Linked DNA regions of Cricetulus griseus. The protein of the gene in region 7 purifies or fractionates together with the protein of the main gene of each other region. This does not show direct contact. Links are inferred from orthologs where the notes say so. Each region holds a gene or a part of one and is shown on either strand. Other genes may lie near its edges.

Evidence for each region.
Region 1: the proteins of Map3k7 (region 7) and Peli3 purify together in Homo sapiens (affinity purification with western blotting; 3 studies listed by BioGRID and IntAct, with this or other methods). This does not show direct contact. The link is inferred for Cricetulus griseus from reciprocal best matches to the Homo sapiens genes MAP3K7 and PELI3.
Region 2: the proteins of Map3k7 (region 7) and Ikbkg purify together in Homo sapiens (affinity purification with western blotting; 8 studies listed by BioGRID and IntAct, with this or other methods). This does not show direct contact. The link is inferred for Cricetulus griseus from reciprocal best matches to the Homo sapiens genes MAP3K7 and IKBKG.
Region 3: the proteins of Map3k7 (region 7) and Fkbp5 purify together in Homo sapiens (affinity purification with mass spectrometry; 4 studies listed by BioGRID and IntAct, with this or other methods). This does not show direct contact. The link is inferred for Cricetulus griseus from reciprocal best matches to the Homo sapiens genes MAP3K7 and FKBP5.
Region 4: the proteins of Map3k7 (region 7) and Xiap purify together in Homo sapiens (affinity purification with western blotting; 3 studies listed by BioGRID). This does not show direct contact. The link is inferred for Cricetulus griseus from reciprocal best matches to the Homo sapiens genes MAP3K7 and XIAP.
Region 5: the proteins of Map3k7 (region 7) and Tgfbr1 purify together in Homo sapiens (affinity purification with western blotting; 3 studies listed by BioGRID). This does not show direct contact. The link is inferred for Cricetulus griseus from reciprocal best matches to the Homo sapiens genes MAP3K7 and TGFBR1.
Region 6: the proteins of Map3k7 (region 7) and heat shock protein HSP 90-beta purify together in Homo sapiens (affinity purification with mass spectrometry; 3 studies listed by BioGRID and IntAct, with this or other methods). This does not show direct contact. The link is inferred for Cricetulus griseus from reciprocal best matches to the Homo sapiens genes MAP3K7 and HSP90AB1.

Annotation. Positions count from the first base shown.
Region 1 is NC_048596.1:54,341,456-54,345,736, forward strand, and holds the start of Peli3 (E3 ubiquitin-protein ligase pellino homolog 3), read left to right. Parts: upstream 1-1,481; coding exon 1,482-1,633; intron 1,634-4,281. UniProt on the Homo sapiens protein: E3 ubiquitin ligase catalyzing the covalent attachment of ubiquitin moieties onto substrate proteins. Involved in the TLR and IL-1 signaling pathways via interaction with the complex containing IRAK kinases and TRAF6.
Region 2 is NC_048604.1:1,290,595-1,294,873, forward strand, and holds the start of Ikbkg (NF-kappa-B essential modulator), read right to left. Parts: upstream 2,801-4,279; 5' UTR 2,703-2,800; coding exon 2,700-2,702; intron 2,183-2,699; exon of another isoform or gene 2,029-2,182; intron 1-2,028. Other genes in the region: G6pd (glucose-6-phosphate 1-dehydrogenase), read left to right, coding at 3,570-3,689. UniProt on the Homo sapiens protein: Regulatory subunit of the IKK core complex which phosphorylates inhibitors of NF-kappa-B thus leading to the dissociation of the inhibitor/NF-kappa-B complex and ultimately the degradation of the inhibitor.
Region 3 is NW_023276806.1:233,602,980-233,607,010, forward strand, and holds the start of Fkbp5 (peptidyl-prolyl cis-trans isomerase FKBP5), read right to left. Parts: upstream 2,801-4,031; 5' UTR 2,685-2,800; exon of another isoform or gene 2,517-2,684; intron 2,286-2,516; exon of another isoform or gene 2,141-2,285; intron 1-2,140. UniProt on the Homo sapiens protein: Immunophilin protein with PPIase and co-chaperone activities. Component of unligated steroid receptors heterocomplexes through interaction with heat-shock protein 90 (HSP90).
Region 4 is NC_048604.1:25,906,938-25,910,437, reverse strand, and holds part of Xiap (baculoviral IAP repeat-containing protein 4), read left to right. Parts: intron 1-1,085; coding exon 1,086-1,164; intron 1,165-2,091; coding exon 2,092-2,134; intron 2,135-3,500.
Region 5 is NC_048595.1:96,028,356-96,031,855, forward strand, and holds part of Tgfbr1 (TGF-beta receptor type-1), read right to left. Parts: intron 2,295-3,500; coding exon 2,052-2,294; intron 1-2,051. UniProt on the Homo sapiens protein: Transmembrane serine/threonine kinase forming with the TGF-beta type II serine/threonine kinase receptor, TGFBR2, the non-promiscuous receptor for the TGF-beta cytokines TGFB1, TGFB2 and TGFB3.
Region 6 is NW_023276807.1:31,888,691-31,892,931, reverse strand, and holds the start of heat shock protein HSP 90-beta, read left to right. Parts: upstream 1-1,441; 5' UTR 1,442-1,580; intron 1,581-2,815; coding exon 2,816-2,962; intron 2,963-3,078; coding exon 3,079-3,285; intron 3,286-3,510; coding exon 3,511-3,670; intron 3,671-4,075; coding exon 4,076-4,209; intron 4,210-4,241. UniProt on the Homo sapiens protein: Molecular chaperone that promotes the maturation, structural maintenance and proper regulation of specific target proteins involved for instance in cell cycle control and signal transduction. Undergoes a functional cycle linked to its ATPase activity.
Region 7 is NC_048595.1:110,090,241-110,093,740, forward strand, and holds part of Map3k7 (mitogen-activated protein kinase kinase kinase 7), read right to left. Parts: intron 2,996-3,500; coding exon 2,867-2,995; intron 973-2,866; coding exon 842-972; intron 1-841. UniProt on the Homo sapiens protein: Serine/threonine kinase which acts as an essential component of the MAP kinase signal transduction pathway. Plays an important role in the cascades of cellular responses evoked by changes in the environment.

The DNA.
Region 1 (4,281 bases), on a different chromosome or scaffold from region 7:
CCTCCACTAGCCAGGAGGGGATAGGGAGTCCCTCGTAGGGAATGGCGGGAGGGACTTCGTTGGTTCCAGGGGCGGGGCCCAGAAAAAGGCTCGGGCTCCCGAAAAGCTCTTGGCATTGCCGATTGCTGCTAGGCTAAACCGCAGGAGGCGGAGCCTCAGGGTAAGGCGGGGCTCTATAGGGGGCGGGCCCTGAGGGGGAGGCGGGGGCAGGGGGTGGAGCGTGGAGGTTTGTGTGCGCAACCTTCCCTCCTCCGGTCCCCGAGTGTCCCCGCGACGAGGCTGCACCGAGCAGCCGCGGGCCGAGCTCGTCCCGCCGCTGCAGTCCCGGGGCGCAGCAAGGGAGAGGCGGGTGGGGGCGAGCAGCTCCCAGAGAGCCCCGGAGCGCAGCCAGGTGAGGCCTGAGAGGTGGAGGTGCGGTGGAAGGGGGTCTGCGCCGTGAGTGTGCGGGGGGGCGTGTTTGCGTTTCTGGTGGTGGCGAGGTTAGGGGAGCGGGTCTGAGGGCTAGCGCCTGTGGCTGTTGGCGCGTGGGCGCGTCCCTGCAGTAGCATGTCTGGTGTGCTGCGCCCGCCTGGGCACAGCCCGCGGTGCTAGGGGTGTGCGGGACTGTGTCTGCGCGCGCGCGCCTGTTTGCGAGGGGCCGCCGGCTTGTGTATCTGCGTATGCGCTGGGCCGTCGTCGTGCCCGTCCCGAGCGCAGCGCGGGGTGCGAGCCTCCCTCGGCGCAGACCCTCCGGCGTTGGGGTTGTTAAATAGGCAGCCTGCGGGACACCCGCTGTGCTGCAGGGGAAGCCCGACTGGGGAGCGCAGCCCCCACAGGCCTCCTGGGACCAGAGCGGCCTGAGGACCGCAGACAGACACCTGAGGGAGGGAGGGGACGCGCACCCGGGAGGGAATTGGAGGCCTGCTTTCAATGCCAGGCCAAGATGGGGAGACTGAGTAAGGTGGATGACAAGAGGAAGAAAGATTGATAGGAGAAGGGGGGAATAGAGTTTGGGAAGAGAAAAGGCAGAAAAGGACAGTGCTGGGAGGACAGAGAGTCATTGAGAGCAGACAGACCGACAGAGGCCTAGACCTGCAAAAAGGCAGAAAGATTAGCATGAACATATAGATCCAAGAACCTGATAAGAAGGGGTAACTGAGGTGTTGGGTTAAAAGCCTAAGCCAGGAACTAAGTCTGAGAAGTAAAGCTCCTTAAGACCTGGCTGCCCCTCTGCCAAGCATATTCTCTCCAAAGTTGTTATATTCCACTGGCCCCATCAAATATCCTGACCCTCTGACTTTGCCATTTCTTTGTTTGCCTTGTCTCATCAGTCTGCCTCCCTGGCAATCCAGCAATCTCACCGTTTATGGGGAACAGAAGTAGTTATAATAATAAGTGTTGAAGGACCACGCTTGCCTTGGCTTAAGGCAGCTTGCCTGAGCTAGACAGGAGCTGGTGTGGGATGCTTCAGAGTTCTTTTCTCCTCTCCCACTCTGCTCAGAATGGTGCTGGAAGGAAACCCTGACGTGGGATCCCCTCGGACCTCGGACCTCCAGCACCCAGGGAGCAAGGGCTCTTGCATCCTCTCTTCTCCTGGTGAAGAAGCACTGCCAGGCGAGGAACCCATCAAGTATGGTGAACTCATCGTCCTGGGGTGAGGCTCCCTAGTCCAGGAGTGATGTGCTTTGGGTAACCCCCTCCTCAGGTCAGCCAAAACCATGGCACCATCTGCCCTCTCCAGGGCTCCTTCCTCTTTGTTTCTTGTTACCTTCCCGGATGAAAGACAAAATTGACCAAACCCGTATCTGTTCATAATTATTTGATCTTTCTGTTTCTCATAAAATTCCTGAGACAATTCTTAACTGCTCAACAGAGTTTCTAACCAGATGAGAAAAAGAGCCTGAAAAACACCTACTGTGTGTAGGTGTAGGGGAAAGAACTCTGATTCTGCACAAAACTCCTTGGTCCCAATCCTGCTTTTGCAAATTGCTGAACTTTCCTGTGCCTCTGTTTCCCCATTTTGAAGACAGGGTTGATACTAAGTCACAGCCCCAAAGGTTATCTGAAAGAAGGGATTTTTGTAAAGTACATAGTCTGGTACCCAGCACTTACCAAGTGTCAGGCAGGCAGGTGGTGCCAAGCCTTTTCATGGGCAGTATTTCATTTCAATCTTCACAAAGATGCTGTGAGGGGAAGTGACTGGCCCAAGGGCACACAGCTGGTAGGTGGCCGGGCCGGAATTTGAACCCATCTTCCTAACTGTAGATATAGCAAACTATCACTAAGCTGCAGCTTGCTCTTGTGCTACAGATGAGAAAGTGTAGTCTCTGAGAGAGGAATTTATGGACCTTGATGGCTGAACAGACCTGATCCCTTTTGGTCTTTGCCTGCCTGGATACCTGCACTTCCCATGAAACTCTTCCTCCAGACACAGATTCCTCCTCCTTTCCCTGTGCCTCCTTTTGGCCCCATCTCTACCCTGAAGACACTGCTTGGTAGGCTATGGGATCATGATGGAAGTTAACAATGCAAAACAGGAGCCGGGTGGTAGCGAACGCCTTTAATTCCAGCACTCCAGAGGCAGCGGCAGGTGGATTTCTGTGAGTTCAAGACCCAGGCTGGTCTACAAGAGCTAGTTCCAGTCCCCTTGCCTTTTTTCAAATAACAATAATCGCTAACTCATATCAAGAGCTGGCCAGCCTCTGTCAAGCATTTTACAGCGCTTTATCTTTTTAGTTCTCCAAATCAACCTTCTGAGTAGGTTCTGACAAATGAGCTCTGTTTTATAGAGGTGATGACTGGAAGAGCCAGGATGTATGCCAGGTTCCTGTGTATTGTCAGCCTGCATCCTGACTGTTTCCCTCTAGACCTGCCTCTGCCCACACAGAAGAAGTACTCAAAGTAAAAGAGATGTTCCTCACAGGGGTGCTTACCTCTGAAAAGCAATTGCTTTGTGTCTGATGGAAGGAAGGCCTGTGTTTCTGTCTGGGTGCAAGGCCACAGATAGAAGAAACTGCAGATTAAGAGGAGGGAGGGGTTTTGTTGACAGCCCTCTGTCTTAAGCAGATCAGAGAAGCCTCACTCAAGCTGTGTATCAGAGCTACTGGAGAACACGTGTATGACACACACTGAGTCAGGTGGAGTGGCACACACCTCTAATCCCAGCACTCCAGAGGTAGAGGTAGGGAAGCCAGCCTGGGTTACATGAGACCTTGTCTCCAGATCAACAAAAAGAAGAAAGAGGGAAGGAAGGAGGGAGGGAGGGGGAGAAGGAGAAGAGAGAAAAGAAAATAGGAGATAGCAGGAGGAATCCTACACCTAAAGAGGCAGAATCTCCGGATAGGTCTAGAGAATACCAACTTTAATGGACTCATTAAATTCTAATTGGTCCTTGTATTTGACTTTATTTATTTATTTATCTTTGTTTTTGTTTTTCCAGGCAGGGTTTCTCTGTATTTTTGAAGACTTTCCTGGAACTTTCTTTGAAGACCCGGCTGGCTTCGAACTAACAGAGATCCTCCTGCCTCTGCCTCCCGAGTGCTGGGATTAAAGGCGTGTGCCACCAATGCCCGACATGTATTTGGCTTTTTTTTTTTTTCTTTTTGAGAGAGGGTCTCATGCTGGCCTCTATCTCCCTAAGTAGCTGAGGATGACCTTGAGCTCCTGGTCTTCATTCTTCCCAAGTTCTGAGATTATAGACTGCATTTATGTGGTGCTAGGAATTGAAACCAGAGCACTGTGCAAGCTAGGCAAGCATTCCACCCATTGAGCTATCCCCAGCCCTATCTATATTTGGCAACCTTTTTTTTTTTTTTTGGTTTTTTGAGACAGGGTTTCTCTGTGTAGCTTTGGAGGCTGTCCTGGCACTTACCCTGAAGACCAGGCTGGCCTCGAACTCACAGAGATCCACCTGCCTCTGCCTCCCAAGTGCTGGGATTAAAGGCGTGCGCCACCAACACCCGGCTAATTTGACAACCTCTTATTTCCTTCTCCAAAGTTTGCTGTGACTCCCCATTACTTACAGAAAAGCATTCTTAGCTTGGCATTCATATCTCTCTATACTATACTTTACCACCGAGTCACCAAATCCTATTCTTACTAAACCCTGCCAGTCTTAGGGCCTTGGGTCAGAGACCTCTAAATTGAAGGACTTTGGCAAGTCTAGGTGGAGTATGACTGCAATCTGGCTTTTTTTTTTTTTTTAAAGCTTCTTAGCTTGAGGCAAATCATTTCCCTCCTGGGCCTTGACTTGTCTAATTTATAAAATAGGAAGAAAGACATTTCCCTGGCAGGACATTTCAC
Region 2 (4,279 bases), on a different chromosome or scaffold from region 7:
AAATAAAAAGAGGTCTTGTCAAAATTAATTTCCCAGAACTAGAAGTATATCTCAGCAATGGAGTACTTGCCAAACATTCACCAGACTCTGGATCCCCAGCAGTACCCAAAAAAGTGAGTCTCCCAAATCCACTTCTATCCACAACTTCCCTTACTATCAGTTGAAAACAAATCCATCCCCCAACTATCAGGACAAAAAATTTGAGCATTTCTGAGTTTTTGCTTGCTTGTTCGATTAGTTTTTCTGTTCCTTTATCTTCCCCCCTGCCCATCTTTTTAATTCATGAAGACACACTATAACATTAGGTATTTTAAGTGTGATCATGGTGTTGTAGTTATGTTTATTGAGAGTACTTTCTGAAAGAGATACATAATGAAACACTCACATGTCTGAAATTCACTGCATAACAAAAGAGATACCTATGGATAAACCCAATAGAAATGAAAACACATGTCCATATATAAATGATCACAGCAGCATTATTCAAAGCAGCCAGAGTGGAAACAATCCAAATGTCCACCAACTGATGAATAAGCAAAATCTGTTACAAAAACAAGAACACATGCTCCAAATAATTGCTAAGAGAAAGAAATGTCACTAAAAGCTATATACTGTATATACTTACAAGCATAAGAAATATCCAAAACATGTAAATCCTGACAGAAAGTAGTTTAGTGGTTACTTAGAGAAATGAGGTGGATTGGAGTTTCTTATTTAGGATTTCTTTTAGGGATGATGACAATGTTCCGCAATTAGTGATGTTTTCACACTCCTATGAACCCACTAAAAACCACTGAATTATACACCTTAAATACGTGAATTGTAGCCAGATGTGGTGGTGTACTTCTGTAAATCCTAGTACTTAGGAAGTAAAAGCAGGAGGATGAGAAACTCAAAAAGAAGGGATCTTCATGAGACTCTCTCCAAAAATTTTGAATTATGGGCAAGTGACACATCTCAGTGGATAACTATTGGTATGCAAGCCTGGAAACCTGAGAACACATTCTGGCCATGACACTCCACACACATCATGCATACACACACACAAATAGTAAATATTTTTAGTTTTTAAATGTGAATGGTGCAGCATGCAAATTATGTCTCAAGAAAGCTGTTTTTGAAAATTATAATGGGTGGAGCAAAAAAGATGATTACTCAGTGGTTAAGAGCACTTGCTGTTGTTGCAGAGACAGTTCCCAGCACCCACATGGTGGCTCACAAACATCTGCAACTCCAATCCAAGGGGACCTCACACCTTCTCCTGAATTCCTTTAGCAACAGGCAAGCATGTAGTACACATACATACTCACAGCCAAAACACCCACACACATAAAATAACATCTTTTCTAAAGAGGAAAAAAAATCATGGTAGAGTACTGTAAGGGCTGTGAATTAAAGTTAGCTATGAGTTGATAGAGACAACTAAGAAATGTGTACATGGAACTTACTATGTTAATATTTCTACTTTTGTACATTTTTAAAGTTTTCAGTAATAAAAGGCTGACAGCACTATCATCCTTCACATGGATTACTGCAATAATCTCTTTACAGATCACCATGCTTTCTTCCCTTGCCTTTTACAATCAATTGACCCCACTGGGACCAGTTACATCAAAGATAACTTTGACTGTTTCTCCCTTTTATCGTGAACCCTTCAAAAACAAAGGCAAAGTCGGTACACTTGAAAAAGCTGAGGCAGGAGAATCTTGTGCTCGTGGTCTGCCTGGCCTACATTTCGAGATGCTGTTTCAGAAAACAAAGTTTCATCAACAGAAAAATGTCTGTGAACTAAGAGTTCTAGCACTTGGGGCCAAGCCCTTAGGCGACAGATAAGCAGAGGGAAGGACAGAAATCAGTCCAAGTAAGCTGGGTCGCGAATCTGCACTTCTTGAATAAATGCTCTAAAAAGCATTCGAAAGCATGCAACAGAACAAACTGGGCCCAAGGTGGGGGGAAGGGGGCTCAGGAGCCTCGGAAGCTGCATAATGGCCACCGATGGAGCCCTATCTTTGGAGAAGAGGACTACACCTGTCAGCAGAGTCGGCCAGAAGTGAAGAGGGCCTGAGCAGCGGAACCCGACCTCTCAGATTGAATCGGAGCTCTCAGAAAGTCCTGGTTGGGCGGTCACCCTTCCCTTCTCGGCTGTGGAAACCCCTGCTTCCGGCTTCCGGTGTCGTAAGTGTGGGATCCGGAAGTAAAACACAGACTCGAAGTCGAGGAGATTAACTGGAGCTGCGAAGCCACAATAGTGCTGCATCCCACTCTGAAGAGAAGCCTCAGACCGCCAGCCTGCATTGGCTAACCGAAGAGCGCAACGCTCTTCACTGATAAAGATCACACACACACTCACACACACACACACTTACACACTTTTTTTTTTTTGATACAGGGTCTCTCTCCTAGCTATCCAGATCTACCTGCCTCTGCTTCCCGGGTGCTTGGAATTAAAGGCGTGTGTCACCTCGCCCACAGTTGTCCCCACCCCATTTTCAAGGCGTCGCATTCGCAATGAAACACCCCAGTTTTAGTCTGGTTCTGTCACTGGGCTCTCTGCCACCAGGTCCCTACCATGGAAAAAGCCTAGAAGAAGCTGCTAAAGGACGCCAAACCGATTGCAAGGGGAGGCGTGGCTATGCTGCTAACGGAAGTGGGGTCATCCAGGAGTGCGCAGGGACTCGAGGGTCCATCGGAAAACAGACCATAAAGTATGGCTGGGGTAGCGATGGGGACGCAGGAGAACTGTGCGGAGCTGTATCTGTGCCAGCAAAGCATCACGATCGCGGAGCAGGAAAGCAGGGACGGCCAACAGGGTGGGGCTGACAAGGGATGCGTGCGCACCTACTTCTGCTACTCTCCCCTCCCTCACCGATGGAGTAGTCCGAAGCTCCTCCTCTCCTGCCTCTCCTGAGGCGGGTCAGCTCAGTCAAAGCACCCGCCCTCCTGCGTTAAACGAGCCAGCTAAGCGCAGCCCCCGGAAACGAGCTGTGCACTCCAGAACTGTAAACCTGTTTGGCAGCAGCAACTAAACACAGGTAAAGGGGGTGGTCTGATAGCACACCGGTGGAGGGATGTGCTTCCCGCTTATGAGCCGCGTGTCCCTTTGATGAGCGCTATTTGTTATGCTTGGATATGGAAAAAGATCTACGAGGTCTTAACCCATCCCATTGTACCCCGCACTTCCCCGCATTAGGCCCATGAGGACTAGACTTTTAGAAGAGAAGGGTCTTTCTGGGATCATTTAGCTTGGCCAGCAGAGAGCTGGGGCTGAACTCCATCATCTGCACAATGAAAAGATGCTCAGTTCATTGTGGCGTTTCTGGCAGAGACTGGAGTGCGATGGCCCCAGACACAGTGCGATGCTCTGACCGCGTCGCTTTCCCAGAGTGGATTCCCTAGCTGAATTCCATTAATGCTTATAGAGATTTCGTAATGTACAGCCCCCAGAGAAGACAACATAGGATATGGCTGGAGCCCAGAAGCAGCAGTTTCTGATTCTGATAAGGTTAAGTTGTCAATGCTCTTCTGTTCTCCTGCCTTATCAATGAGTCTTTCTTCCACCAGAAAACACCATGGCAGAGCAGGTGGCCCTGAGCCGGACCCAGGTGTGTGGCATCCTGAGGGAAGAGTTGTACCAGGGTGATGCCTTCCACCAAGCTGATACACATATATTTATCATCATGGGTGCATCGGTGAGTCTCCCCTCAGGCCCTGAGTGTAAAAAAATCAAATGTAGCATTTTGCAAGGCACTTCTCTCTCTTTACCTGAACTTTCCCAACTGACTGCTAAGGGGCCACACAGGTTCTAATTTGAACTCACGGCATATGTTCCCACCTGTGTGTCCTGATCATCACAGCAGTCAGTACCTGCTGTACATCATGTACTTCTGTCAAATTTCTCATTTGCAAGGCTTTTCAGAAATCTATGTTCAGCCATTAAATGTGGGCCAGACTTGGAGCATGCAAGTTCTAAAGCACCATCTACTTGAACTTCTTCCTCCTGGATGGAAAAAAAAAAACTGAGGTGCAACCAGGAAGTGCTATTCAGTCTATATGTTTTCCAAATCTGTAATTTGACAAATGTTACAGTTGCTTTCAGTGAAAGGATCTGAGGTCCTGCCTCTGCCTCTTTTCTCTCTATTGCATGAAGTTCCCTGGAGGCAAACACCTACTCTTTACCACATCTTCCAGAGCCTACTGCAGATTTCTGTTGATTCCACCTGGTTCCCAGTTGTCTAACTAAAACAACTACCAATATGCTCTGTTAGGAAAAACTGAAGAA
Region 3 (4,031 bases), on a different chromosome or scaffold from region 7:
GGAAAGTCATTTGCCACTAAGCTGGACCACTTGAATTTGAAGTTCAGGATTCACATCGTGGAAGGAGAAAACCAACTCCAAAGTTGTCCTCTGACAGCCACACCTGTGCCAGCATGGTCTCAATAATAAATAAATAAATAAATAAATAAATGATAAAATTTAAGAAGAATAAAAATAAATCCTCTCAAATGTCAAGTAACTGAAAAGTAAATATTGAGAAACATACTTTTAAAAAAGGTTGGAATGACAAAAACCTCATTCATGCATGAACTCACTGTTTTAAAACAATTTAAAAAGGATATTCCTACATTAACTTAAAATAATCTCAAGTGGTCCCAACCAATAGCTAACTCAAACTATCTAGATGAATAAAATGACCACTCAATTAATTAGTGCAATTAAATAAAAATTAACTGTGCTCTGAAATACAGACTACACCCAGTGCAGTTCCCACACAAGACACGTTAGAAGTGAGAAAGGAAGAAAACCAAAGCGCGTGTTTCTAACGAATCATGAATGTTATTAACCTTTGCATTTAAAGATGGTTAAAATACACCATTTCTGTAGAAACCCCAAAGTAAAAGCTGTCAGAAGACTGTTCAGCACATACCGGACAGCTGGGAGAGAGGCAAACAGAAAATGGTTAAGTGAAAATACGACAGAGTAAGAATGTCCCAGCAGAATATTTTTCAAGTCATACCTTGAATTGATTCGGGCACCAAGAGTAGGAACTACTACAATTCTATAATAATAATAATAATAATAATAACCACATAGCAAACACTAACAGCAAGAAGGGGAGGGACAAAATTCTTAAATACATGTTAACTTTTCCCTTGTCCTCTACCCTAAGAAAATGGAAAGACAATGAAAATCAGCACTCTCTCCTACTCCTAGGGAAGGCAAAGAAAGTGCCCATTCAACGCTCAGTCTCAGTCCGCTGGGAAAAAAAAAAAAATCCCCAAACCACCAGTTCCCAACTGCAGCTTGCAGAGTTGACTGAACGGCAGGCAGCCAGGCGCGGTACACAGTGTCCCGAGCCCTGCACGACCTGTGCCTCCCACAGCTTTCGCCACCGCCGCTGCCGCCGCCGAAACCCCTGTGTAAAGAGCAGGGCGCGAGCGCTCCCCCCGGCTCACCCACAGCGAGGACGGTGAAGATGACCACAGCGCAGTGCGCTCCCTTCGCTTCTGGCGGACACGCACTTTCTCTCACACACACGTTAAACTCACGCCGGGTTCCGAGTAGGGGGCTTTGGCCGGGACGGTGGTTGTGATGTCCCAGGGCAGAAGGGAAGGAGACTCCAACACAACTTTCATTTCTTTATTATTGGGAGGGAGTGTGAGCATGTGTGCGTGTGTGTGAGCGTGTGTGAGCATGAGCATGCGTGTGTGTGTGTGTGTGTGTGTGTGTGAGCGTGTGTGAGCATGAGCATGTGTGTGAGAGCGTGTGTGTATGTGTGTGTGTGTGTGAGCGTGTGTGAGCATGAGCATGCGTGTGTGTGTGTGCGCGTGTGTGAGCATGAGCATGTGTGTGTGTGAGAGAGAGCATGTGTATGTGTGTGTGAGCGTGTGAGCATGAGCATGCGTGTGTGTGTGTGTGTGTGAGCATGAGCATGTGTGTGTGAGCGTGTGTGTGTGTGTGTGTGTGTGTGTGTGTGTGTGTGTGTATGTCTTATACACGTGGAGGTCAGAGGACAACTCTCGGGAGCCGGTTCGCCTCAGACCACCTCGGTTCCGGGGATCTAACTCAGGTCGTCACACTTGGCGACAAGCGCCTGTGCCCGCTCTACCACCTCGGAGGCGCCGAAAGCAACTTTTAATTGGCTTTTGTTTGTTTGTTTTCCCCTCTCGCTCTACCTCCGCGCCCCCCGGTCACCTGCCGGCCCGGAGCGGCGGGCCGGCCGGGCAGGTGAGGGCGGCGCGCCCGCGCGGCACGCCCAGGCGCCCTGCGGATCGCTGCACCGCGCCGCGGCGCGGGCCCCCGCGGGGCCCGGGGTCTCCCGCACGTCCCGTCCACGCCGCCCCGGGGAAGCCGCGCGAGGGGCGGCGGAGGCGCGATCGCCGGCGCACGGCTGACTCCCGGGTCCACCGAGCGCGCGCAAGCTCGCGCCCCATCCCCGCGGCCATGGCGCCCGTACCTGTCGCCGTCGCCGCCGCCGCCGCCGCGTCTCGGGCTCCGCGTCTCTCCGCCCCCGCGCGCGCCGCTCAGCCGCCCTCTCTGCCCGGCCAGCAGGCCGCCGGTCCGCACGCTCCGCGAGCTCAGCCGCGCGCCGGACGCCGCCGCCGGAGACTGGCAGCGCCCGCGAGCCGGCTAGTGCGCCGGGCAGCGCCCGGCTTCGTCCCGCCCACACCGGCCGCAGGACCCGCCTCCCATAGGGCCGCGGGGCTGTCAATCCGCCCCCAAAAGGCGCGCGGGCTGTGGCCCCGCCGGTCCCCATTGGTGGCCGCGCGCGGTCTATGCAAATGAGGCCCCGCCCCGTCGGTTTGCATCCCCGCCCCTCCGCTGCCGCGGCCCACGTGTCTGGCCCCTGGCCTTTGTGGGGGCCGGAGAGCGGGGATGGAGGAAGCCGGCCGACACCTCTCGGCGGCGTCCTTGGCCTCCAGACTAAGCGCCGCCAAGTCTCTGCCCCGCCTGCTGCCCACCCAGCCCGCCCTTCACCAGCCTGGACCCCGGACAGCAACCTCGTGAGCTCGAAGATGCTCCTTAGACCCCGGGAAAAGCCAAAACAGCACCTCGCTGCTCTCTCGGGACGCCCGGTGGGTGTGGCCGCGCTCTCCCCCGGGGCTCTGCCTCCCCTGCGCAGTAGCCCAGGGGACGGCGACACAGAGGAGCCCCAAGGATGGGCTGCTGAGCCCGCTCAGCTTCAAGACCACACCCCTCCCCCAGCCACGTGGCCAACCCGGGGTGACTGCCTCCGACATTCGGGAGCTGCACCTGGGGACTTGAGCGCGAACCTTCGTTTTCTAATTTTTTTTTTTTTTAAGAGCGCGTTTGAGTGCCCGCCTGCTGTGTGTCTGCGCACTGCGTGGGTGCGGTGGCCCGCAGAGGCCGGAAGAGGGCGTCGGATCTCCCAGGACTGGAGCTGTGAGCTGCCAAGGGCGTGCTGCGGGTGCCACCCAGGTCCTCTGAGAGAGGGCCGGTGAGTGCTAGGCTCTCGCTCTCCTTCCCTCCCTCCCCTTCCTCCTCTCTTCTGTCTCTCTCTCCCTCCCTCCCTCCCTCCCTCCCTCCCTCCCTCTCCCTCTTCCTCCTCCTCTCCTCTGTCTCTCTCTGCTTTTATTTTAGTTATTTATTTTTGTTTCTTTTGCATTGTCATACTTTAGAATATTTGAAGGCCTTCTATATGTCACCATGCCGGGGGATGGTATGGTCATTCCTTTCCTCTCTTCATAGACCTCTGCAGAAAAGACAAAACTGACACAGGAACCTCCTCTTGAGCAGGGGTCCTGTCTCAGTGACGGGAAACTTCCCCTTAACCAGCCTCCCAGGGGAGCCACAAGCTGCTCACATGAATTCGGTCAACAGCGCCATGTGGATAGCAACCGTCCTGCTCACTGATGCCAGCTGGTTTTGCATCTAGTGGGCAAGAACTGCACCCTGTGTGGAGGAGGGCGCACGGAGGTGAGAAGGCACCGTACCAGCCCGTGACAGCTCCGGGCTCACAGGCAGGGACATCCACACTTGAGTAACCCCCAGTTAGTTCTGTGGCACGTGTCTACAAAGAAGAGTGAAGAAGGGCTCTCCCAGAAGGTGGGAAGCTGTGAGCTCACAAAGCATGCAGACCTGGAACGGCTTAGGAACTGAGTGAACAGCTAGGGGCAGTGTGGGCCAATCTGCAGGGTTGTGTGGACTTGTCACATGTTCCGAGAGGAGACTCTTCCAGGAGGAAGAAAAGCCCGGGAGGCTGCCAGGCCATGTTGTAACACACCACAGCAAACAACAACAGGCGCTGTAGATACAGCAGCTGCCGGCTTTTTTTTTTTTTTTTTTTTCTTCTGGGCCAGAGTATGTGGGGGAACAGTCAGTTCTAC
Region 4 (3,500 bases), on a different chromosome or scaffold from region 7:
AATGCCTTTAATCCCAGCACTCAGGAGGCAGAAGAAGGTGGATCTCTGAGTTTGAGGCCAGCCTGGTCTATGGATCGTCAGGGCTACACAGAGAAACCCTATCTCAATTCCCTCCCCCCCCAAAAAAAAGATCAGTGTGAAAATACTAATTTAATAGCTTTTTTTTTTTTTGCCTGTTAGCAGTTTTGGATTTTCTTGTGTTTATTATAGTCTTGTTATATGTAGCCTAAACTGGCCATAACTTCCTATGTAGACCAGGCTGGACCTAAAACTTGTGGCAATATTCCAGCTTCTGCGTCTTGAGTATTATAGAGGTGTGGTATCATGCCTGCCTTTTTGTTTGTTTCTTCTTTGAGACAGGGACTCTTGGAGCTGGCTCTAGCAAGAATTCACTATGTAGCCAATGGTGGTTCTAAACTTCTGATATTCTTGGCTTAACCCCCTAAGTGCATATATTTCAGATATTTACCCCCATACCTGTCTAATGACTTTTTTGGCTAGTTTTCCTTTCTTTTGGGGGACAGGTTCTGTCTATGTAGTCCAGGCTAGCCTGGTTTTCATGTAGCCTTCCTATTCAGCCTCCCAAGTGCTGGGATTACAGGCATATACCACCAAAATTGGCTAATTTAGTAACTCTTGCTTGAAAATTGATATTGATAGGGTGGAAAATAGGAGCATTATTTTAGCCTTGAAATGAAAGCTTTATAAGGAATTTTGTAGCAGTTTGCTTTGTGGCTCCCCAGAAACAGTGACGCTAAGGCCTTTAATCTCAGCTACTTAGGAGTCTGATAAGATAGGAAGTTTCAAGGCCTGTCTAGGTTAGAAAGCTCAATCGACGCCAGCCTGGGCAATTTGTCAAGACCCTATCTCAAAGAAAAGGCTGTATTTTTAACAGACTAGGGTAATTTGTGCCTATTGCTGCCTGTAATCCCAGCAATTGAGATATGGAGGAGGAGGATTAGATGTCTGAGGTCATCCTTGGCTAAATAGCAAGTTTGAGACTAGCTTGAATCACAGGAGGACTGGCTTTACTAATACTTCACTAATTTATCAGCTAATAGAGTTTAATGTCTTTAATCTTTTAGGTGTAAATATCTATTGGATGAGAAGGGGCAAGAATATATAAATAATATTCATTTAACCCATTCACTTGGAGAATCTTTGGTAAGTTGCCTGTTATTTTGTTTTTCTAATGATTTCTTCCAGTGAAATGCATGGTATACTACTATAATTAATGTATAGTAAACTTTAAAGGGGAGAACTTCAAGAAACCTTCTAATTCTTAACCCTGAAGCAAATTTTTGAAAAGATCAAAGCAAAATAATGTATCACTGTGAACAGAATGGGTGTGAAGAACTTAAAATACTGAAATCATTTAGCTCTCAGAAATCAGGCTTTTGTGTAATGTACTTTCCACTCACAAATAGTTTCTACCTTTAAAAAAAGACAGGGCTGGCTTTGTAAACCCACGAGATGTGCCTGCCTTTGCCTCCTGAGTGCTGAGATTAAAGGAGTCTGCCACCATGCCTGGCAGTTTTCACCTTATATAAAAAAACATTGATTGATTGATTTAGTGTGAATGTATGCGTGCCTGTGTGCATGCCTGAGCAAGTGTTCTCAACTGCTGAGCCATAGTATTTGAAATTGCAAAATTAAGGCTGGAGATATGTATCAGTTATACCTTATCTGGCTATCATAAACAAGGCCCTGGGACAAAAAAATACGAAAATGTGTCTGAATAGATACATGGGACAAGGGTAGTCAAAGCATTAGTAAAATGTGGGAAGAACCCTGAACTGGAATCAGAGTTTAGAGTTGACCTAATGGTTCTACTGTTAATTTTTTTAGTTTAGTTTGTGTTTGTTTCCCCTACAGAAAGTCATTTTATCTCATTGACCCTCACCTTCTTGTCTGTAAAGAAGTGATATTGGATTAGTCTTAACTTCCTTGTGTTCCACCAGGCTTCACCCTTGTGAATAGTCATGTTTTAAATTAGAATAAAGCCAGTTTGTTTTGAGTGTATTAAGTTTTCAAATTGAGGTAATTGCTTTCTACTAAAGTGAATTCTTACCATTCATATTTCTATTTTAGGTAAGAACTGCTGAAAAAACACCTTCACTAACTAAAAGAATTGGTAAATATTCTTATTAAAATAAATCTGTTTAATTTTTTGGCCAAATTATTATAGTATGTTTAATGAGGTTGCTATAAATTTATGAGGTGTTTATAATTTTATGTCATATATTTCTGTAGTGAGGATGTCAATAAAAGGCCAGGTGTTGCTGGGTGGTGGTGGTGACGCCTTTAATCCCAGCACTTGGAAGTCAGAGGCAGGCAGATCTCTTGAGTTCTCTGGCAGCCTGGTCTACAGACCAAGTTCAAGGACAGCCAGGGCTGTAACACAGAGAAAACCAAAAAAAGAAAAGGAGAGCAAGAAGAGGATTTCAGATCCCCTGGAACTGGAGTTATAAGTGGTTGTGAGCCACCAAGTAACTGCCAGGAACTCTGAGCCATCTCAGGCCAGACTGGCTGGACCTCTCTATCTTTTTGCCTCCGTCTTTTAAGTGCTGAGATTGTAGTTTGTGCCCCCACATGAGGCTAAAAGCAGATCCTGTGATGATGTTTATTATTGTTTGTTGGTGCTGGTGATTGAGCCCGGAGCCTTTCTCATGATAAGTACTCTGAGTTACAGCTCTAGCAGTTATTCCTACTTTTCAACTGAAGAAACAGGGAGGTTATATGATCTACCCATGGCCACATTATAAATTTTGTTGTTGTTGTTGTTATTTTGTTTTTTTTTCAAGACAGAGTTCCTCTATATGTAACCCTGGCTATCCTGAAAGTCCCTCTGTAGACCAGGCTGGCCTCGAACTCAGAGAGATCTGCCTGCCTTTGCCTCCTGAGTGCTGGGATTAAAGCATGTGACATTATAAATTATTAATAGAACTAGAAATGTAAACAAGGTCTTCTAAATCCCATAGCACATTATAGATTTAATTTTTGGTGGGGGGAGTATTATGGAACAGGGTTTATCTGTGTATCTCTGGCTGTCCTGAAACTCACTATGAAGTCCAGGCTGGCCTTGAACTCATAGACACCTTCCTGCCTCTGCCTCCAGAGTGGTGAAATGAAAGGTGTTTACTACCATACCTAGCTCTGCTGTCCCTTGTGTTTTGTATTTTTAGATCTCATTTGTCAGTCCAGGCAATATATTTCAAAAATACAAGGTTTCATTTAGAATACCCGGTGAGTCCTTATTCTCTGATGTCGTAACATCATCTGTTTTGTGTGTCGAGGATTACAAGGCAGAAGAATACTACATGTATTCATAAATATGCTTGAAATTAAGAGCTACATTACTTGGTATGAATTTGGCAGTAATAACAAAGTTAAAGAAATCATTTTTGTCTAGCATGCATTTTTAAAGTCATTCTGGGGAAATCAAAAACACATCTAGAACTAGGGTTGTGTTTCAGTGATGGTATGTTTATCTAGTATAT
Region 5 (3,500 bases), about 14 Mb from region 7:
TCTGAAAGGAGGGGGAAGCTCTCAGACAATAGAACAACTCCTAATGGTCCTAGATGTCCATGGGAAGTAGAAAGAGAAAGAGTAACTCCACCCTCCAATTCATACAGCTACATTTCAGAGACAAATAAACAGACCTCTGCTAGAAATCAACTGTCATCTACATGACAATGTGTTGAACCCTTTCGGTGGACTTGAGAATGTGAGCTGTTCAAATTTCCCTGGGTACAAGTTCAGCAATAAGAGAACAGATCCAAGGGACTAATTTCAAATGGTTTGTAATCACCTTAGTTTTCTGCAAATTTGTCCCCTACTTATCATGGACCAGGAGGATCCCTTGTGAGATTTTTCTTTGAGAACCATTTGCTTTAACTCAGAATCAACAGAGAAACCAGGGCAGTCCTAACATACTTTTCATCTACTTCTCCTTCCCAAAGTTTGTCATATCTCCAGTACTCCAGCTGCTCTAGCCCAGTCCAATCTCTCATTGCCTCACTCTCATATGGGACTAACTAAGGAGTCCCTATGGCTGCCCTGGGAGGCCTGGCTTTGTTTGCAAGCTTTTATGTGTTCTAGCAATCAGAAAAAGAACACACTACTGAGTATTCACTGCCACATTTTTACCAAAGGCTTCAGGTAGTATCTGCTTCTTCAAGTACGTAAGAGTGAGCAGGTATGCATACATACCAATATTTATTAATTTCCTTAAAATAAAGACATCTATTATTACACTGTTGCAAGCATTAATGTGGTTTCTGTGCTTCAGAGCTACACCATTCCTTAGTCATAATTCCCGCTTTAATATTCTTTTACTATCATTTATTTCAAAATCAGCCATATTTTTGTTTCCAAATATTCATTATGGCCATAAATTTAGCACTTATTTGAAACTGATCAATAGTTTTCAAAGGACAGTACGCCACACTGGAGACAGAGGCAGGCAGATCTCTGTGAGTTTGAGGCCAGCCTGGTCTACAAAGAGAGTTTCAGGACAGTCTCCAAACTTACAGAGAAATCCTGTCTCCAAAAACCAAAAAAAAAAAAAAAAAAAAAAAGTTACTAAAAATGCAGTAGTTTAATTTTAATAATAGACAATAAACTGGAATGACCCACTGACTCACTGGATGAAAGTACTTTCCACCAAGCCCAATAACCTGAGTTTGTCCCCCAGGATCCATGACTTCTGTGGATGGCAGGCAGGCATGCACCGCCCCCCCACCACACACACACTTTTTTTTTTTTTTATTAAAGTAACAATTTCATACCATTAAGAAGGCAAATAAATAACCTTCCAAATTCCAGGTGAACAGTCCCAGAATTGCAGAATGGTAACTGTATCTCTTAATGGCAGCTCTATCTTCCTAAGAATGGTGTCTTAGCTGGGTGGTGATGGCACATTGCCTTTAATCCCAGCACTTGAGATATAGGGGCAGGCAAATCTGTGAGTTCAAGGCCAGCCTGGTCTACAGAAAGAATTCCATGACCAGTCAAAGCTATACAGAGAAACTCTGTCTCAACTGTCCCCCCCCCAAAAAAAAACAAAAAAAAGGTGTCCTACTTTCTTTTTTGTAAAGTCTTTTTTTTTTTTTTTTTTTTTTTTTGGTTTTTCGAGACAGAACAGGGTTTCTCTGTGGCTTTGGAAGCTGTCCTGGCACTAGTGCTTGTAGACCAGGCTGGTCTCGAAGTCACAGAGATCCGCCAGCCTCTGCCTCCCGAGTGCTGGGATTAAAGGCGTGTGCCACCACCACCCGGCTGGTGTCCTACTTTCTACCTTCCAAGCTCACAAAAAAGCCAAGTATCATCCTATAGGAGAGGATTCTTTGAAATCTATACAACTGTGGAAGTGACTTATAAAGCAAGCTCCAATTCATCTACACTAAAACTATGTGGTCAGATAGACACCAAGCTCAACAATCTTCATTAGGCTGCAATCTGGAACAGCATTCACACTATCCCAAATTTTTAACAAATTAAGCCAAATGTGTCAACTAGTTAATTAAATAAATTAGCAAAAGTGATTTATTAAGATTTCTTAAGGTAAGCAATGACATTACCTGATCCCGATCCTGACGTTGTCATATCATAAATTAAATCTTTTAAGGTGGTACCCTCTGAAATGAAAGGGCGATCTAGTGATGGATCCTCTTCATTTGGCACTCGATGATGAATGACAGTGCGGTTATGGCAGATATAGACCATCAGCATAAGTGCAATACAGACGAAGCAGACCGGACCAGCAATGACAGCTGCCAGCTCCACAGGACCAAGGCCAGAGGACTGCTTTTCTGCAAAAGGTCCTCAAATGAAATAAACATCAACAAGAACAAAAAAAAAACTGTAGGTGGCACCCACATTTTCTAAGCCCTCCATATTTCCCCACATATTCACTACTGTCACTTAGTCACAGAGCCTCATCACACAGGACTCAAGCCAGAACAAGCTCCCCATTCTGTCTTCTTTCTATTCTGTCTTCTCTCCTTGGCCTCCCTTTTTGGACCTTAAGCTCTGTCAGTACCTTCTGACTCTTCCTATGCATCCCCAATCCATCTCGTAATTCATCAATGAGCTGATGAGCTAACCCACACCCTAGACCTCCCTCCTATTTATCACCTCAGACAAACTAGTCAGGGAACCAATAGTTTGAAACAAGCACTTTGGCTTTATCTTCTTATTCCAAGTGCACAGCAGGTTTATAGCAGAGAAAAAATATATAAATACAGTTAATAAGCTTTTACAAATTATTTCCTTGTGATCCTGCAAAGGCTCATATTTTAGTATATACAGTTCCACCAACTTTTAAAAGTCAAACACTTCCCTGTTTACATTTTAATCTATTTATTTATTTATTTATTTATTTATTTATTTATTTATTTATAAATTCCCTGCCCCCTTTTTTGTGAGACATAGGCTGGCCTCAAACTTGGGATTCTCCAACCTCTGCCTTCCAGCACTGGGATTAGAAACCCTTAAAGTTTTTAAAATAGTTTGTGCAATACATTCTTTCTAAACTATTTTTGCCAACTGCATTTTTAATTACAAATTATTTTCTTATACTCTCTTAATAAATTAATATTTGCTCATTTCAAAAACACATTAACATATACATATATATGTGTCAACAATTTTAAAAAAGGAGGCTATGAATTTAAAAGAGAGATCAAGGAGAATATGAGAGGGCTTGGAAGAAGGAAAGGGAAGGGACAGTGTGATATTATAATCTCAAATGTAGTATTTAAAAATGCACTAATTATAATTATTTTGGCATTTACCAAGCTTTATTTTGTTAGATGCTCCCCACCATATTATTTCATTTCTGACATCTTCATTTAGATTAATTTCTTATCATACAGAATTCTATTTCTAGCAATTTCTTTCAGGAAGAGTATTTAAATCCTTATACACTGCATATTTAATTAGTTATATGAAGACAGCTATTATCTTTGTATATGAAAAGTCTTTGTTTACTTTAAGAATTTTGGTGACAACCAATATGTAATATTTTA
Region 6 (4,241 bases), on a different chromosome or scaffold from region 7:
GGTGAACTGAAGCGGACAGAGGCAAAGGAAAATGGGAAGGCAACCACTGCTAAACAATGAAAGCACATTGGGGAAGATGGGCTGCATGCACGCACTAGGAAGGAAGGTGTGGGCGGTGGCGTCGGAGACCTTGGCCAGAGCCGGCAAAGAAAGGAGAGGAACATTTACAGAGCACGGAGTGGCCATTCTCTCCTGGTGGGCTCATCAGCCCAACTCGCTTCCAGAGGCGGCCTTGGAAAATGGCAAGGCTAGACGGACAGGCGAGGCCTGGACAGACAGCCCAGTGGGAAGGCAGGGCGGAGGTACTAGCGCAATTTGGTTCTGGCACCTGGAACTGGGCCAACCCGTGACTAGCATCTTCACGCAGCTGCCTAGAGCTCCCGCTAATCTGATAAGATGGAGATCTCCCTCTCCCTAGGTCCAAAGAGCTGCAGGAGGCAAGAGTGCTAGAAAAAGGGAAACCAGCTTGAGAAGCAGCTTGCAGTGCTCGCAAAGGGAGGGCGCACGGCCCCGTGCGCCTTGTCCGTGGGCCACCTCGGAGGCTGGGGGGTGGGGAGTGTCCCACCCATCAGTGTGGGGTCCCCGGTCTGTTCACAGAAAGGTGTCCGCAGTCACTCACCCCCGCAGATCACGTGCCCTGCGACCGATCCAGGTCAGCCATCCCTCTCTCTGGGCGCCATCCCGCGTTCCACCCCCGCCCCCCCCCGCAGCAATGTGGGGCTCCCAGGGCCGGGGTCGTCTAACCATAGCGCACAGTAGGAGCATTGGGGGGGGGGACACAGTTCGGCATTAAGAGCCGGGCAGTAGGTAGCGCCTAGCCGAGCGGCTGCCCCCGCCGCAGCGGGGGGAGGTGGAGCCTCGGGGGGAGGGGTTGAGACCGCCGAGACAGCCCTAGAAACTGCTGGAAGAAATCGCAGTACCGCCGGCGTTGCTCCTTCCGCCGCGCGCCGCCAAAGAGTCCCTGGCAGCCCAGGCCCGCGCCCCTCCCGCCCGAGCAGCTGCTCGCCGCCTGCAGCTGCGGCCCCGTTCCGGAGGGTGGGCATCGGGACCCCCTCCAGCTGGACAGCGAATGTCCCACTGTCCTGCTCTCTCCATGTAGGGAACACTCTGGGAGGTGGGCTCAGAGAACGGCAGCCGAGTTAGCCATCTCGGTGCTCTTGCGAGTCGGGGGTGGAGGCGCCTGCCTCGAGGTTTCTGGGGGAGTCGGCGGGATATCCGCGCGTGGACACATCCCTAGCAGCATAAGCGCACCCCGTGGCCCTCATCTTGCCATGGCCTTGTCCTGGTCGTGCAGGAGAGGCCTCGGCTCGCCGCACAGGCCCCGGGTCGCCCCCCCTCCCGCCCCCAGTTGCTACCATGACGTCAAGGTGGGCGGGCGGCGGCAGGTGCGGGCGGCGGCCCCGCCCCCTGAGGCGGAGGGATCCAAGGGCGGGGCCGAGCTGTGCTTCGCCTTATATAGGGCGGTCGGGGGCGTCTGGGAGCTCTCTTGAGTCACCCCCGCGCACACTAACCTCCGCGTGCGAGTCGGTCGCGCTCCGAGCCCACCCGGCCCTGTACTACTACTCGGCTTTCCTGTCAAGGTAAGGCCGCGGCCTCCGGCCCTGCGGCTTCCCGGGGCTCGTTCCCCGGGCTCTCCCCCCCCATTCGCATCCGTCCTAGAAGGTCCCCGCCCAGCCGGGCGGCCTGTGGGCTGGTGTACCCCGAGCTGCTTGCGTCTGGCCCCGCGGGGTGGCTCGGCGAGGCTCCTTGGGGCCCCGGGTTGGGGCCCCGGCGCGTGAGGTGGGGGCGCGGCCCAGCTGTGTGCAAGGCAGCCGCACGTGGTAGGCGCCGACCTGGGACGCTGCCATGTTTGCCCTCCACTTCCGGGCGCAGCTGCAGGGTCCGAAGGGGCCGCGCGGTGGCGGGCTCCGCGGCGTGACTCAGCACGGCCCTGTGAGGCTGGCCTGGCCGCCTCCTTTGGACGCCTTTCCCAACGTGGTTGGGGTTCTTGGGCGTGGGGGTCGTCCACGGGGTGGCAGGGACGCTTGAGCGCACTGCCATTTGCCTTTCCAGATCTTTCCTGCGCTCCGGGGAAGGAGGAGGAGGAACCCGGAGGGGGCTGGCACGGGAAGATCCATTGGTCCCTCCCCTACCCCTCCCCTACTCCTCCCCGCCCTGGAGCTCAGATTGTTCTGGAAGCTCCTGGTGCCCCGCCCCAGTGCCCGGATGCTGGGGCAGTGGGAGGGTTGCGGTGGCGCCCCCTCCCCGATGGCTGCCGCCGACGCGTGTCCGGCAGTGACGAGGGTCGCTGGAAGGCTCGGGCCACCATTTTACTTGTGTTCAGGGCTATGCAAGTCTGCGCAGTGAGAGAGGTCATGGTGGAGCTTTTACCTCTTTGTCCTGGTTTAATTGCTCCTTGAGTGCCTCCATGACTGCAGCCTCGGGTTCCCTGCTCCTGCTAGGATGGAGCGGCACATAGAAATGGCTGCTGTTTCTGTTAGTTTCTTTTTTGCCCAAATAAAGTTGTAAAGGGTTTCCTGTATATGTTCACCGGGTAGCTAACGAATTATCATTTCTTGAATTTTAACAAGGTATGTTGTCGGGTTGAGCCTGTTTGAGCTGTAGTATACCGTTTTGGCTGCGTTTGTTTGAAGAACCATCCATCCTTTGAGTTTTTTCCGTTTTCGGTTTACCAGCTTACTGTAGCTTTTCAAGGTCTTTTTAAAAATGGCGGTTCTCATCCCTTGGGAATGGATACTACTCAGCTTAAAGCATTTTGAATTGGAGTTTAAAGTGCATCCATCGTTTTAGTAATTAATGTGTAATGCTTTCTTAGATGCCTGAGGAGGTGCACCATGGCGAGGAAGAGGTGGAGACCTTTGCCTTCCAGGCAGAAATCGCCCAGCTCATGTCCTTGATCATAAATACTTTCTACTCAAACAAGGAGATTTTCCTTCGAGAATTGATCTCCAATGCTTCTGATGTGAGTATCACAGCTTCATAGAAGCCCAGTGAGGGATTGAGAGGAGTCTGCCGTGGGTTGAGAGCCAAGACAATGTTTGCAGAAATGGAATAATGTGGCTGTGTGTTTATTTACAGGCCTTGGACAAGATTCGCTATGAGAGCCTGACAGACCCTTCCAAATTGGACAGCGGCAAAGAGCTGAAGATTGACATCATCCCCAACCCTCAGGAGCGCACGCTGACTTTGGTGGACACGGGCATTGGCATGACCAAAGCTGATCTCATAAATAACTTGGGAACCATTGCTAAGTCTGGCACAAAGGCTTTCATGGAGGCTCTCCAGGTGTGTGGCCCTATATCCACAACATTCTCAATACTGCTTTTGACTTGTTAATTTTTCAGTACTTGTTTTCACTAGTGATATGGTAGGCTTTTAACCTATGGAGATCAGAGGATTACTGGCCAGTAGGTCCCAGGGATTGAACTACTTGATAGTTACACTTGAGTTCAGCAAGCACTTGTGCAGAACCATTTTACTTACCTCTTAACTTTTAAAATCCTTTGGCAGGCTGGTGCAGACATATCCATGATTGGGCAGTTTGGTGTTGGATTCTACTCTGCCTATCTCGTGGCAGAGAAAGTGGTTGTGATCACAAAGCACAATGATGACGAGCAGTATGCTTGGGAGTCCTCTGCTGGTGGATCCTTCACAGTGCGTGCAGACCATGGTAAGCTGCCTGTCCTCGTTTGGATGCTTGGTAGAATTCTCTGGAGGATAGAAAGTCCAAAGTCTTGATCATGCACTGTTTAATCTCAGCACTTTGGAGGCAGAGGCAGATGGATCTCTTGTTTTAGGACAGCCTGGGCTACATAGAAGCCCTGTGTCAAAATGGGGAGCAGGGGGTTGAGTATTTTGGTTGTAGTTTTTTTGTTTGTTTTTTTTTTCTTCATTGTGGTTTTTTGAGACAGGGTTTTTCCTGTGGCTTTGGAGGCTGTCCTGGAACTAGCTCTTGTAGACCAGGCTGGTCTTGAACTCAGAGATCCTCCTGCCAGGATTAAAGGCGTGCACCACCCCACCGCCCAGCTTAGTTGTAGTTTTCTATGTCTTGATTCTATCATTCACTTTTTTATAGGTGAGCCCATTGGCCGGGGTACCAAAGTCATCCTTCATCTCAAAGAAGACCAGACAGAGTACTTAGAGGAGAGGAGGGTCAAGGAAGTGGTGAAGAAACACTCGCAGTTCATAGGCTATCCCATCACCCTCTATGTGAGTATGGACTTGGCAGTATTTGAGCAGTC
Region 7 (3,500 bases):
TAAGAACACACCTTATGGAAGCCCCCGGCTCTATGAACTGGGGACATAATACTGAAATTATTTACTGAACAATACAAATAAAATTTAGGGTGAGATTTTTTTCAAATTAGACAAAACATAGGTGAATAGTTATTAATTTGACTTACATAACTTAAAGTTTATGTGTACAAAGTTAAAGCTACCATTTATGGCTCTTGTTACAAAATAAAACCTATTTTCAATAAAGGAAAAAATTACCTTAAAATATTTGAAGTAACCCTAAAGTGTAAGATTTGTAGAGTAGGGAATTTGATTAGCTTTTTAAAAGGGTTCTTCTAAATTAAAAGATTCCATCAAGCCTAGAAAAAGCTTAGATTTTATTGCCATCTGAAAACATTCAATCAAAAGCCAAAATGGGAATCATTAAAATTACTCAAATACATCTCTTAAAATACATCCCCAGCATACTGTAGAAATGACTGTATTTTGATGAAAATCTGACAAACTTAGTTAAGCATGTTATTAATCATATCTATGTAGGCACTGACAAGCCTCACATACCCTATATCAGCATCTCTCACACACTCTGGAACCAAATATTTATCTATAAATGTTAGTAAAGACAGCAATCCTAGAAACCTGTCTAGCCATCTTGTCATTACAGAGACAAACATTTTTCTAAGGTAATGTTTTCTCTTCTGATAATACAAGTAATAAATAAATAAATGCCTATTCTGACTTTAAAAACACAGGAAAGTATAATGCAGGAAATAGTTCCCATTCTTTCATTTTAAAAGTCCAATAAAACTCAGTATATAGTAAAGTCCCCCAAACCCAAGGCCCCTCAAAAGAAGGGTTATACCCGCATCAAGTGAGTCATTATTTTCACAATTTCTTCCATTGAAGGGCGCTGAGAAGGATCTTTAGACCAACAGCGGGTCATCAGACTCTCGATGGGCTTAGGTAAGTTTTTGATCAGTGGTGGTCGAGTACCTATAATTGAAAATTAGAGGAATAAAAGAATTATCTACCCAAAGAACACTGCAAGATTTTTATAGTTTATTTCCAACAATATCTGAACTAGCATTTTTTCTCTTTTAGTTTACCATGTATTGTATCTATATATATTTTCACAAAGGGCAAACTATACCAAAAACTACATTAAATTTGTAACACAGGTGATAAGAACAGTGAGACTAAGACTGCTTGCTTGGGCTAGATGTATGCCTTTAACCAGTGCTTGTGAGGCAGAGGCCAGCAGAACACACAGGGCTGCATAGTGAGTGGGACTCTGTCTCAAAACCCAAACCAAACTGTCATATGCATTCTTTCAAAGAGCAAAGGCCAAATGCATGCATTAGGAAAAATAAGTAGCTGACTTGAGGAAAGATGAATTTTCAGATTATAAAATATTAAATGCATTTGAAAAAAAATCTTCCATTTACAGAAAGTGATCAAACACAGTGTAATGCTCATTGACTTCCCTCAACCATGGTATCACTCTCACAACTTCCCTCAACTATGGTGTCACACTCACTGTTTTCTTCAGCTGTGGTATCACACTCAGTTTTCCCTCAACTCTGGTGTCACACTCACTGTTTTCCTAAACTATGGTGTCACACTCACTGTTTTTCCTTAACTCTGGTATCACACTTAACTTACTTCAGCCAACCAGTATTAGACTCACTGACTTCCCTCAGGGTGTCACACTCACTGACATTTTCAACCATGTTGTTGCACTCACTGACTTCCTTCACCTACAATGTTATACTTACCAACTTTCCTCTGCTGTACTGTTACACTCACTGGTTGCAGTTAACTATTTTACAGGACAGAAAGTGCCAACTTTTTATAATTTATTAACCCTGCAGTGGCACTGGTAAGCTTCCCACACTCAAGAGTGGCTCCAGATACAGTAAGATCTTTATAGGTTAATCAATCAATACGCTAGTTCTTTTACTCTGTTACCTCACTGACAATCACTTGCTGAGAACTGATAGCCAGAGGAAGCAAACTGTCTTGGAAAGCTCCTGTATTTTCTACGACACTATAGGATGTAACAAAGCTGGCAGAGGAAACTGGTAAAACAGCCAAGATTACTCTGATGGTTTTGTTTGGCCAGCCTACAAAAGCTCTAAAGAGTTAGGTGTTTTTTCTTTGATCACCTGTAGACTAGTATACAAGCACTTATTCACTGGAACGATTAGAAGCACGTGAAGTAACAGTGATGCTGTAGTTCCTTATAGAGTTTCTTTATCAAAGAAACTGTGAAGGACCTACTAGTGAGGAAGCTATCTGAACACATTTATGGAAGTCAGAGAGACATAACATTAAGTCACCCTGATGAAAAGTAGGAGCACTTGAATCCAAAGGACCTGCATGTGGATTCCAGCTCCAACACTTATTACTTGTGATGTTAGCACTGTACGCATGGTTGAGAATATACAACTAAAACATGTGTGCAGCACTGAATATTGTGTCCTTTTGAGCTTAAGAAACAACTCTTACCAGCAGTTTTGCTTGAGAGTTGTTTTCCCAGGAGAAAGGGGCCTAGCATCCCAGCTATCTTAACGATATGAGAGATTTCATTTATCTACTTTGCCGCAGTGCTTCTCTAGCCCTGAGAGAGATAAAGGTGCTGGCTAAGTACTGATGGTCTTTCTCTAATCAGTGCAGTTGGCAGCCTCAGGCCTATGCAGAGGAGTCTAAATTCTCCCCACCAGAACCAGAGACAAAGGTATATAGAGTGCTAAAGTAAGGTGGTCTGGTAACAAATAAGTCTACATTTCAGTGTCAGATATACATAGTCTCTGGGGAAGAGGATGGGGGCAGTTTTCCAAATATGAAATATACACAATATATTAAAGAAAAATTTCTTTTGACAAACCATTATGAACAGCCCACATGATTCGGAAAGCTGGGCCACCGATCTCATCAAAGGGTTTCCGGCGTGTTATCACTTCCCAAAGGATAATACCCCAGCTGAAGACATCACACTTTTCACTGTAATTACTACCTACAAAAAAAGGCATTGTCATCTTGAGACCTGTTCCACAGGAATCACAGAAATAACTAGTTTCAAAATTTTTAAAGGAATGGATATTTTGGATAAGAGACTGTCACAGGAAGAATTAAACAATTACTTTCTTAAATGTTTTCAAAATAGAGTTTAATGAAATAAATATAAATAATATACTCAAAATCTACATGAGAAAGCCAGTAATTTTCTACCTTTTCAACAAAATACATTGGCCTTTTTTCTTCTGTGTGCAGACTGATCTCTTTTACAGGCATAATTTAAAACACCTTTATATTTCTGTAAGTTTTCAATTTCTTTTTGAAAAAGGTTTATTTGTTTTTATTTTATGTGCATGAATGATCTTTTGCCTCTATGTATGTCTGTGTACCATGTGTTGCAATGCCCAGAGAGGTCAGAAGAAGTCATCGGGAACCCAACTTCTGAAGTCACAGACCTTTGTGAACCTTCTGTGGGTGCTGGGGATTGAACCTGGGTCCTCTTG